Linked DNA regions of Oryctolagus cuniculus. The protein of the gene in region 2 interacts with the protein of the main gene of each other region in a pairwise test. Links are inferred from orthologs where the notes say so. Each region holds a gene or a part of one and is shown on either strand. Other genes may lie near its edges.

Region 1 (3,441 bases), on a different chromosome or scaffold from region 2:
TCTCCATCACCAGGGCCCCCTGCCGTGCGGGGCAGGCGTACACCCCCTGGATCAGGTGCCTCGCAGATGTTACTTAGCAAGCTGCTTCATTCCCACCAGCTGGTGCCTGTACTTCCTTATGAGGAAAGCCCACAGCATTCCTAGCAGCAGCTTGGCCGAGTCCCACGGTCACCCTTTCTAAGAGTGCCAGCCTTCTCTCTGCAGAAACACTGTGCCCCTGTTCTGGCAAAGCTGCGCCCACCGCCTGACAATCAGGATGCCTATCGGGCAGAATTTGGGTCCCTCGGGCCCCTCCTCTGCTCCCACGTGGTCAAGGCCCGGGCCCAGGCTGCTCTGCAGGCTCAGCAGGTCAACAGGACTACGCTGACCATCACACAGGTCAGCGACCCATGGGTGGGACGTGGGCCCTCGCCTGCAGGCCCCGAGTCAGTGAATGATGTAACACCCCATTTCTTGTGAGCAGTAAGCGGAGCCTGAGTCTCTCCCTTCAGCACCGCCTTTTTTCTTAGATGTTGACATTTCCTTCTGGTCTGTTCTTCCTGCAGCCCCGGCCCACACTGACCCTCTCACAGGCCCCTCAGCCTGGCCCTCGGACCCCTGGCTTGCTGAAGGTGCCGGGCTCCATCACACTGCCCGTCCAGACATTGGTGTCTGCACGAGCTGCCGCCCCACCCCAGCCTTCCCCTCCTCCAACCAAGTTTATTGTAATGTCCTCGTCCTCCAGCGCCTCATCCACCCAACAGGTATGCTGAGGAACTCTCCAAGGGCCATGCCACCTGAGAGCACCTGGGGAGGTCCCAGAGCAGAGCCCAGTCCATTCCAGGCCCAAGGTCAGGAGATGGAAGGGTCACTGCCAGGGGTCTGGGCCAGAGCAAGGCCTCCCGCTGCCTGTGGTCTAGGGTAGGGTTGGGGAAGGGCCATTTGGGTATTTATAAAAAAACATCCTTCACAGGCCATACACAATTCATCCACTTAGAATTCCCCTGGTATAGATTTATTGGGTTTCGAGTCCTGCCTGTGGCTCTCACAGGCTTTATCTGCCACATGGGCTGGTTGTTCCCCCCGCCTGGTAGGGGTCTGGAGACATGAACCGTGCCTGGGAGAGCACCTGCAGGCCCCTGAGGAGAGCCAAGAGCATGGGGCAGTCGGTGGACACTGCTGTCCTGTCTCCCCAGGTCCTGTCCCTCAGCACCTCAGCCCCCGGCTCAGGCTCCACCACTACCTCTCCTGTCACCACCACGGTCCCCAGCGTGCAGCCCATTGTCAAGCTGGTCTCCACCGCCACCACCGCACCCCCCAGCACTGCCCCCTCTGGTCCGGGCAGTGTCCAGAAGTACATTGTGGTCTCACTTCCCCCCACAGGGGAGGGCAAGGGGGGCCCTGCCTCCCACCCTTCTCCCGTCCCTCCCCCATCATCTTCCCCATCCCCCCTTGGGGGCAGTGCCCTCTGTGGGGGGAAACAGGAAGCGGGGGACAGCCCTCCTCCAGCCCCAGGAACTCCAAAGGCTAATGGCTCCCAGCCTTCCGGCTCAGGCTCCCCTCAGCCTGCTCCATGACAGTGCCCCCCATCTGCTGACCTGCACGTGTGCCAAGTGGAAGGATGGAGCAGGCTGCTTCCCCCACGTGACTTTCTTTTTAGATTACACAGCCATTTCCCAGAATAAAAGTTTGATTTGTAAGCACTGATTTCCCCAAGTTCTCCCTGCATCGGCTCCCATGGAAGGGGGCCGGTCTCTCGAGCCCTCCTGGTTTCTCCAGACTTCCTGCTCACATCCAGAGCCCCAGACCAGGAGGCCAGAAAAGAAGATAATTGTCCTTTTCCCACTTAAGCGCCTGCTGCCTCTGTCCTTGTTTCGAGACCCAGCTTCAGATCCGAATGACATAGGCGCTGCTGTGGCTCAGGTGTCGCACCCACTTGTGGGGGTTGGTGTTACCACACGGCCTGCAGGACAGTCTGAGGAAGCGGACCTGGAGGCCAGAGCACGTGTGCCGGGGGAGTTCGAAGGAGAGGCTCGCAGGGCCCAGCCCCAGAGGAGAAGCCGAAGTGGGAGTCCCATGGCCGGGAGGCCCCGGGAGGCTGGGGACATCCATCTGTGAGGAGAGAGAGCAGGGAGGCTGTCAGGCCAGATGAGGCTGCAGCTGCTTTGGGAGGGCTGAGCAGGGGCTGGGGTGAAGGGCAATGGGGAGGGCGCTAGAGCAGCCGTGGGTACCTGGAAGAGGCCTGACAGTTGAGAGCCTCCTTGCACTCGAGGCAGGTCCCAGTGAAGGGCTCCCTCCCCCAGCTCTGCCTTCTGTTCTGGGCTGCTCAGCTCCTGAGACAGGCTGGGGTGGGGAAAGGGACAGTGCTGGGCCCAGCTGCACTGCAGCCCTGGGCCATGCTATTCCCCGGGGGAGCTCACACGCACCTGACCACCCCTCGCGGCAGGGGGAGGTGCAGCCTGACGTTGAGAGCTTGGCTGCAAACGAGAAAGGAGCAGAGTCGGCCCCAGAAGCCATGGTCGTCCCTGGTCCTGGTCCCCCTTGAGCGTCACTGTGGGAGTTCAGCACAGGTGCCACCTCCACTTCCTTCCCAAATGTTAATGCCGCCAGCGAAACTGGAATCTGAGGCTGGTGGCTGCACGTGAGGAAGCAGCATCGCATTCTCGACCTTGGCCCTGTATGCTGTCCTAGCTGGCTGGACCAGGAAAGGCCAGCGCCCTCCCTTACCTCTTTGGGGGCAGGTCACATCGCAACTTCAGGTAAACCTGGAGCCTGGATGAGAGGGTGAAACACCATCTGTTAGGTCGTGTCCTACCGGTATCTCACCAGTGCCCACCCAGGGCCTCCACGCACAAGGGGAAGGGCCAAAGCCCAACTCCACTAGGCAAGCTTTTTCCCAATCTGCACCCTCTAACACGACCTCCACCTCCCTTCTGTGGTAAGCTTTGGCAGCTTAAATGTCTGGGCTCAGGTTCCATAGTTAGAACACAGGAAATGGTCTCACCGGCCTGAGCCTCGGTCCCACTGCACAGAGGGAAAGAGCCGGAAGGGAAGTGGGGAGGGGAGGTCATCGGAGAGTTGGTACCGCATCACCGTCAGCTGAGGTCAGAGAGGAAGGAGGTCAGGTTCCTCCTTCCCGTCTTCCAGGGGAGCCCCCGCCCCCCAATCCTGACCTCGCCCTGAGGAGGCTGCAGGCGGAGGATCCGATGAGATTCAAACTCGTCCAGCTGTACCGAGCTGTGAAATGAGACTTCATCCACGCGAATTCCTGGCCCGTAACCTGGAAAGGTGGAAAAAGGCCTCTCCTGACCCACGTTTTGGGAGAGGGAAGGCTCCGTCTAACTCCTCTCTAGGAAATCCGGCTGGAACCGGCCCTTGGGAGACGAAGACCCTTGCTCTCCTCACCTCTCAATTCTGACTTCCCCACACAGAACTCCTCGGTCAAGCCGATGCGCATCTCTG
Region 2 (4,843 bases):
ACTTGTGAATGACTAGGAAGGCCAAGGTAATAAAAGATAAAGTGCTGGCATTGAAATTGCTTTGTACAGTTTTGGTTATCACTTGTTAAATATTAAAAAAAAAAAAAAAAAAAAACCCTAACAATATTTTGAAGTGTGCTGTAAGGAATGACTGTTTAGTTTCAAGGGGTAGATGTAAGAAATGGCATGACGGTGGTCTCTAAAACTCCAGTAAATTCTGGCAACATTCTTTGCCAAGGCTGTTCTAAGCATTTAACATGCATTGACTCAGAAATGCACTATGAGGTATAAATACTATTGAATGTGTGTTACAGTAGAGGTAGTTGAAGTACAGAGAAGTTAAGAAGGCAAAGTCAGTCACAAATCTAATATATGAAGAAAAGTCAGGAGGTTCATTCAGGACAGGCCATCAACCCCCGGAATCCCTGGATCCTAATCACCATCCCGCACCGTGCCCACCAGTATTTGTGTCTCCCTGTGACATGCCACTGCTAGAGATTAAGAGAGGAACCAAAATGGCAGGAATGGCTTCTATTTTAGTAATGTTTTTGAATTTCCTGCTCTTGTCATAACAATCCCTGAGACTGCTATTGTGATCAGGTGGGGAAAGTGAGGCTTGGGAAGACTGGCAGACCTACCTACGGCCGGTTACCACATGAAATGACAACACTGATACCCCGTCATGGGCTTCTGGTTTCTAGTCAGGAAATTTCTCCATTAAACCCTTTTCTCAAGAAGTACCTTGCTGTACAACATAAATAGAGGCTTCTTTGCCAAACACTGATTATTAACATTTAAGGGTACCTCTTAAAGCCTAAAAATTGACATCTTGGGGTATGCTTTTAGCACAGTGGTTAAACTGCCTGCCACTTGGGATGCCTGCATCGGTATCAGTGTGCCGGGATTTCAGTCCCAGCTCTGCTCTCCATTCCGACTTCCTGCCGTTACATACTCTGAGAGACAGCAGGAAGTGATGCAAGTATTTGTGGTCCCACTATCCATATCAGAGATCCAGACTGAGTTCTTGGCTCCTGCCTTCAGCTTGGAACAGCCCTAGTTATTGTGGGCATTTCAAGGAAACCAGAATGTGGGACATCTCTCTGTGTGTTTTGGCCTTTGAAGTAAATGAAATAAATATTTGTTTTAAAAAATTGACATTTAAATTTATTTTATTTATTTGAAAGGCAGAGAAACAGGGATATATCTGCATCCACTAATTCGCTCAAATGCCCACAACAACCGGGGCTGGTCCAGGCCAAAACCAGAAATTGGAACTCAATTCAGGTCTCCATGTGGGTGGCAGAAACTCAAGTACTTGAGTCAGTACCACTGCCCCCTAAGAGCACACATTAGCAGGAAGCTAGAATCAGGAACAGAGCCAAGACTCGAACCTGTGCACTCTTATATGGGATGTGTGCATCCTGAGTGGTGCCCTAACCACCATACCAGATGCCCACCCCAGAATTGCTGCCTTGAATGTATGTAGTAAACAAAGTACATTACTTTCTTTATCTTTTCTTCTAATTTGTACTTGTCACATTTTCTATAATGAGTCTTTATAACTAGGAAAGCAGTGAACATTAGTTGAAAAATTTATCACTCAAGAATTGAGATGACCTGGGAGTGTGAGCCTAGGAGAGGTGTTTGAGGGGTTTCATCCTTCAGCTGTGAAAGAGATCATAGAGAAACCTGATCTACCACAGAGGGAGCCTTCGGGCTGCAGGTGGACCATAGGCCTGAGGCAGCATGGCTGCTCTTGTATTCCACACTGCCTGGTGACAACAGAGAGAAACAATTAAGTTTCTGCTTTTTGCTAGGAGATGGACCAGGATAAGTAGAAGCATTCCAGAAGTATCGTCATGAGTGGCATATAAAATGAGGGACCAAAATAAATTGAAATACTAAGTACTGGGGAAAAGAGTATAGCCTATCTCAGATAGTCCAATTACAGTGCAAAGAGCGCTTAAGTTTAGACCTGGTTGTTTCTGATCCATTTAGATATTTTCTCTTAACAGTCCAACCATGTGATAAAGCATCTTACTATACTAGCCTTTAAACATGTTTCTAGTCAAAATCCCAGAACTCAAATCCAGAGGCAATTACTATATATCTGGCACCATGCTGAAAGCATGATAAATGTTTTTGCTTCATTGAATTCACAGTGCGAGATAAATACTGTTATTATCTCCAATTTTCTAATAGAGAAACAGAGGTATGGAGGCTGGTGTCTTTCTCTGTGTCCTACCAATAAGTAAACACAGGAGGCAGGGTTGGATCCCAGCCAGAGCCTCCACTGTCACAGGTAGAGCTGTGACCTAAGTAAGTAAGCACCGACGTGTCTCAGAATGTTTAAAGGTATCAGATTATACCTCTCATATACTCAGTGCCCATGTATTTTGACCATTCAGTGTATACATTAGCTAAAGGGGGTACTTTTTCCTGATTATCTTATAATAAGAAGCATATGACCTGTTTTATTTATACTCAAAAGAGGTTTTCTTTTACATTTTTGTTCCTGTTTTGTTTTGGTTTTTTTGTGCTCAGGGTTGATGGTGCATGTTGATAAAAGAATTACTCTGGCAGCTTTCAAACAACACTTAGAGCCTTTTGTTGGAGTTTTGTCCTCTCACTTCAAGGTCTTTCGAGTATATGCCAGCAATCAAGAGTTTGAGAGCGTCCGACTGAATGAGACACTTTCATCATTTTCAGATGACAATAAGGTTGATTAAAATAATCCTTGAATAATTAGAATCTATTTTAAATGATAGATTTGAGAACATCTTGTACTACTTCCAAGTAAGGTGAAGTAGATACCCTAAAAGGGTCATTTGTCTTTGATATTTAGTGATTTTTGGGGGGTATTTTGGTGGTGGTTTTCTTCATCTAACAAACATTTCTGAGATGTTAACTGTGTGTTAGTTACTATTCTAGGTGCTGGGAACTGAGAGGTAAATATACCTGTTCTCAAACAGCCCATAATCTAGAGAATTTTGGAAAACAAAACTAAACTGTGGGGTGAAAATAGGTTGTTTAGTCTCCTAAGATGCTATTTCTAAAATCATGTTTTTAATTTATAGATTACAATTAGACTGGGGAGAGCACTTAAAAAAGGAGAATACAGAGTTAAAGTATACCAGCTTTTAGTCAATGAACAAGAGGTAAGTAATACAGCAATGTAAAGCCACTTTTTCGCATTACTGAAAGCATGATACAGAAACTATTACATGTTTCTTTTTACTATTGTAGTTTTACAGATTATTGTCTCTTGCGGCTACTATGTTCTGCCATCGCCAATTGGAAATGACTGTGTCCCAATAAAACTTTATTTACAAAAACACAGCAGTGAATTTGGTCCACAGGCCATTGTCATCCTCTTGCTTTAAAGTATTGCTGCAGTGCTGGAGTGAAGCAGAATGTTTCTGATTTTAAAAGGAATTTGTGTTTGCTTTCTGGGATGAGTCCTAACGCTATAGGTTAACCCGAAGAATCTACAGATACTTCTTAGGTCCCGAATCATTTTAGTATTTTTAACATATCTATATATTGTTTATTGTGTGCTCTAAGTGCTTGTAATACTAACTCATTTAATGCTCATTGGTTAACTCTGCAATATAAATATTCTATAGATGAAAAAACTAAGGAACAGAGAAGTATCTTGGTCAAGAGCACATAACTTGCAAATGGTAGATTAAGGATCTAAACAAGCTCTTAGAGATTAATCAGTAAAATATTTTAGTTCCTGTGCTGTATAGCACCTGTGTCGAATATCCAAAAGAATAATGCAGGGCCCGAGTTTCGGAGTCTGTGTCAAGTAAAATGTCTTGATAATCCTTATTGTGTCATAGTCTAATTGTTTATGTTTATATTCCTAGCCGTGCAAGTTTCTGCTAGATGCTGTGTTTGCTAAAGGAATGACTGTGCGGCAATCAAAAGAGGAGTTAGTTCCTCAACTCAGGGAGCAGTGTGGTTTAGAGCTCAGTATTGACAGGTAAAGTCAAATTACAGTGTCATCTGTGATTGGGAGAAACGATTGTATGTTCAGTCAATAGGGACTGGCGTGGTTTTCTCAAACTGGAAGAATTACAAACTTGGGTACTCGTCACAATGCTGGTACTGAAAATTAAGTTAATAGGCTTGACTGGATATTATAATTTTGTTTCCATTTCCTCTAGAGGATACTAAATTTGAAGTACTGGGAGCATTTCTTGACACATTTTTAATGAGTAACCATTTGACTTTGTATTTGAACATAGTTCATTTTTCCTTGGTGTCAGATTAATGTTGGTTTTTAAAGTGAGAATTTCAGATTATAGTACTTTAAAATGTCATCATGTTTATAGGTTTCGTCTACGGAAAAAAACATGGAAGAATCCTGGCACCGTGTTTTTGGATTATCATATTTATGAAGAAGATATTAATATTTCCAGCAACTGGGAGGTTTTCCTTGAAGTTCTTGATGGTATTATCAACATTATTGTGGGGAAATATCAATTGGCAATACTCTAGAACTAACAGAATCCATGGTTTTATTTAAGTAGTGAGTTACCAGAAGCCTAATATACAGTTTGGTGTTTTTGTGTTTCATGAAACATAAAGACATTGTTTTGTGGATTGATGTGATTCCTCCTACATCCCATTCCCAGGAGTTTTATTGTCTTCCACTGTAATACTTAAGTTATTGTTAAAAAAGCATCCAGTGTTTTTAGCTTTCTCCTGTTTTTCTTTGGGTACCATTTGCCTTTTAAGTATCTCTTATTTTCTCTAATTTTGAGACTCTTAACTCCCTCTTAAGGGGAAATTACATTCCTTATAACTTACTTTACATCGAGAATGTGATACTGAT

The links.
Region 1: the proteins of USP47 (region 2) and AP4M1 interact in binary tests that used the Homo sapiens proteins (3 or more experiments, as listed by UniProt). The two-hybrid records come from large-scale screens. The link is inferred for Oryctolagus cuniculus from reciprocal best matches to the Homo sapiens genes USP47 and AP4M1.

Annotation. Positions count from the first base shown.
Region 1 is NC_091450.1:42,372,110-42,375,550, reverse strand, and holds the end of AP4M1 (AP-4 complex subunit mu-1), read right to left. Parts: intron 3,439-3,441; coding exon 3,385-3,438; intron 3,260-3,384; coding exon 3,153-3,259; intron 3,079-3,152; coding exon 2,984-3,078; intron 2,752-2,983; coding exon 2,707-2,751; intron 2,457-2,706; coding exon 2,406-2,456; intron 2,323-2,405; coding exon 2,211-2,322; intron 2,092-2,210; coding exon 1,867-2,091; 3' UTR 1,557-1,866; coding exon of another isoform or gene 1,176-1,556; 3' UTR 964-1,175; downstream 1-963. Other genes in the region: TAF6 (transcription initiation factor TFIID subunit 6), read left to right, coding at 205-378, 546-743, 1,176-1,556. UniProt on the Homo sapiens protein: Component of the adaptor protein complex 4 (AP-4). Adaptor protein complexes are vesicle coat components involved both in vesicle formation and cargo selection. They control the vesicular transport of proteins in different trafficking pathways.
Region 2 is NC_091432.1:54,271,641-54,276,483, reverse strand, and holds part of USP47 (ubiquitin carboxyl-terminal hydrolase 47), read left to right. Parts: intron 1-2,544; coding exon 2,545-2,720; intron 2,721-3,077; coding exon 3,078-3,158; intron 3,159-3,872; coding exon 3,873-3,988; intron 3,989-4,340; coding exon 4,341-4,459; intron 4,460-4,843. UniProt on the Homo sapiens protein: Ubiquitin-specific protease that specifically deubiquitinates monoubiquitinated DNA polymerase beta (POLB), stabilizing POLB thereby playing a role in base-excision repair (BER). Acts as a regulator of cell growth and genome integrity.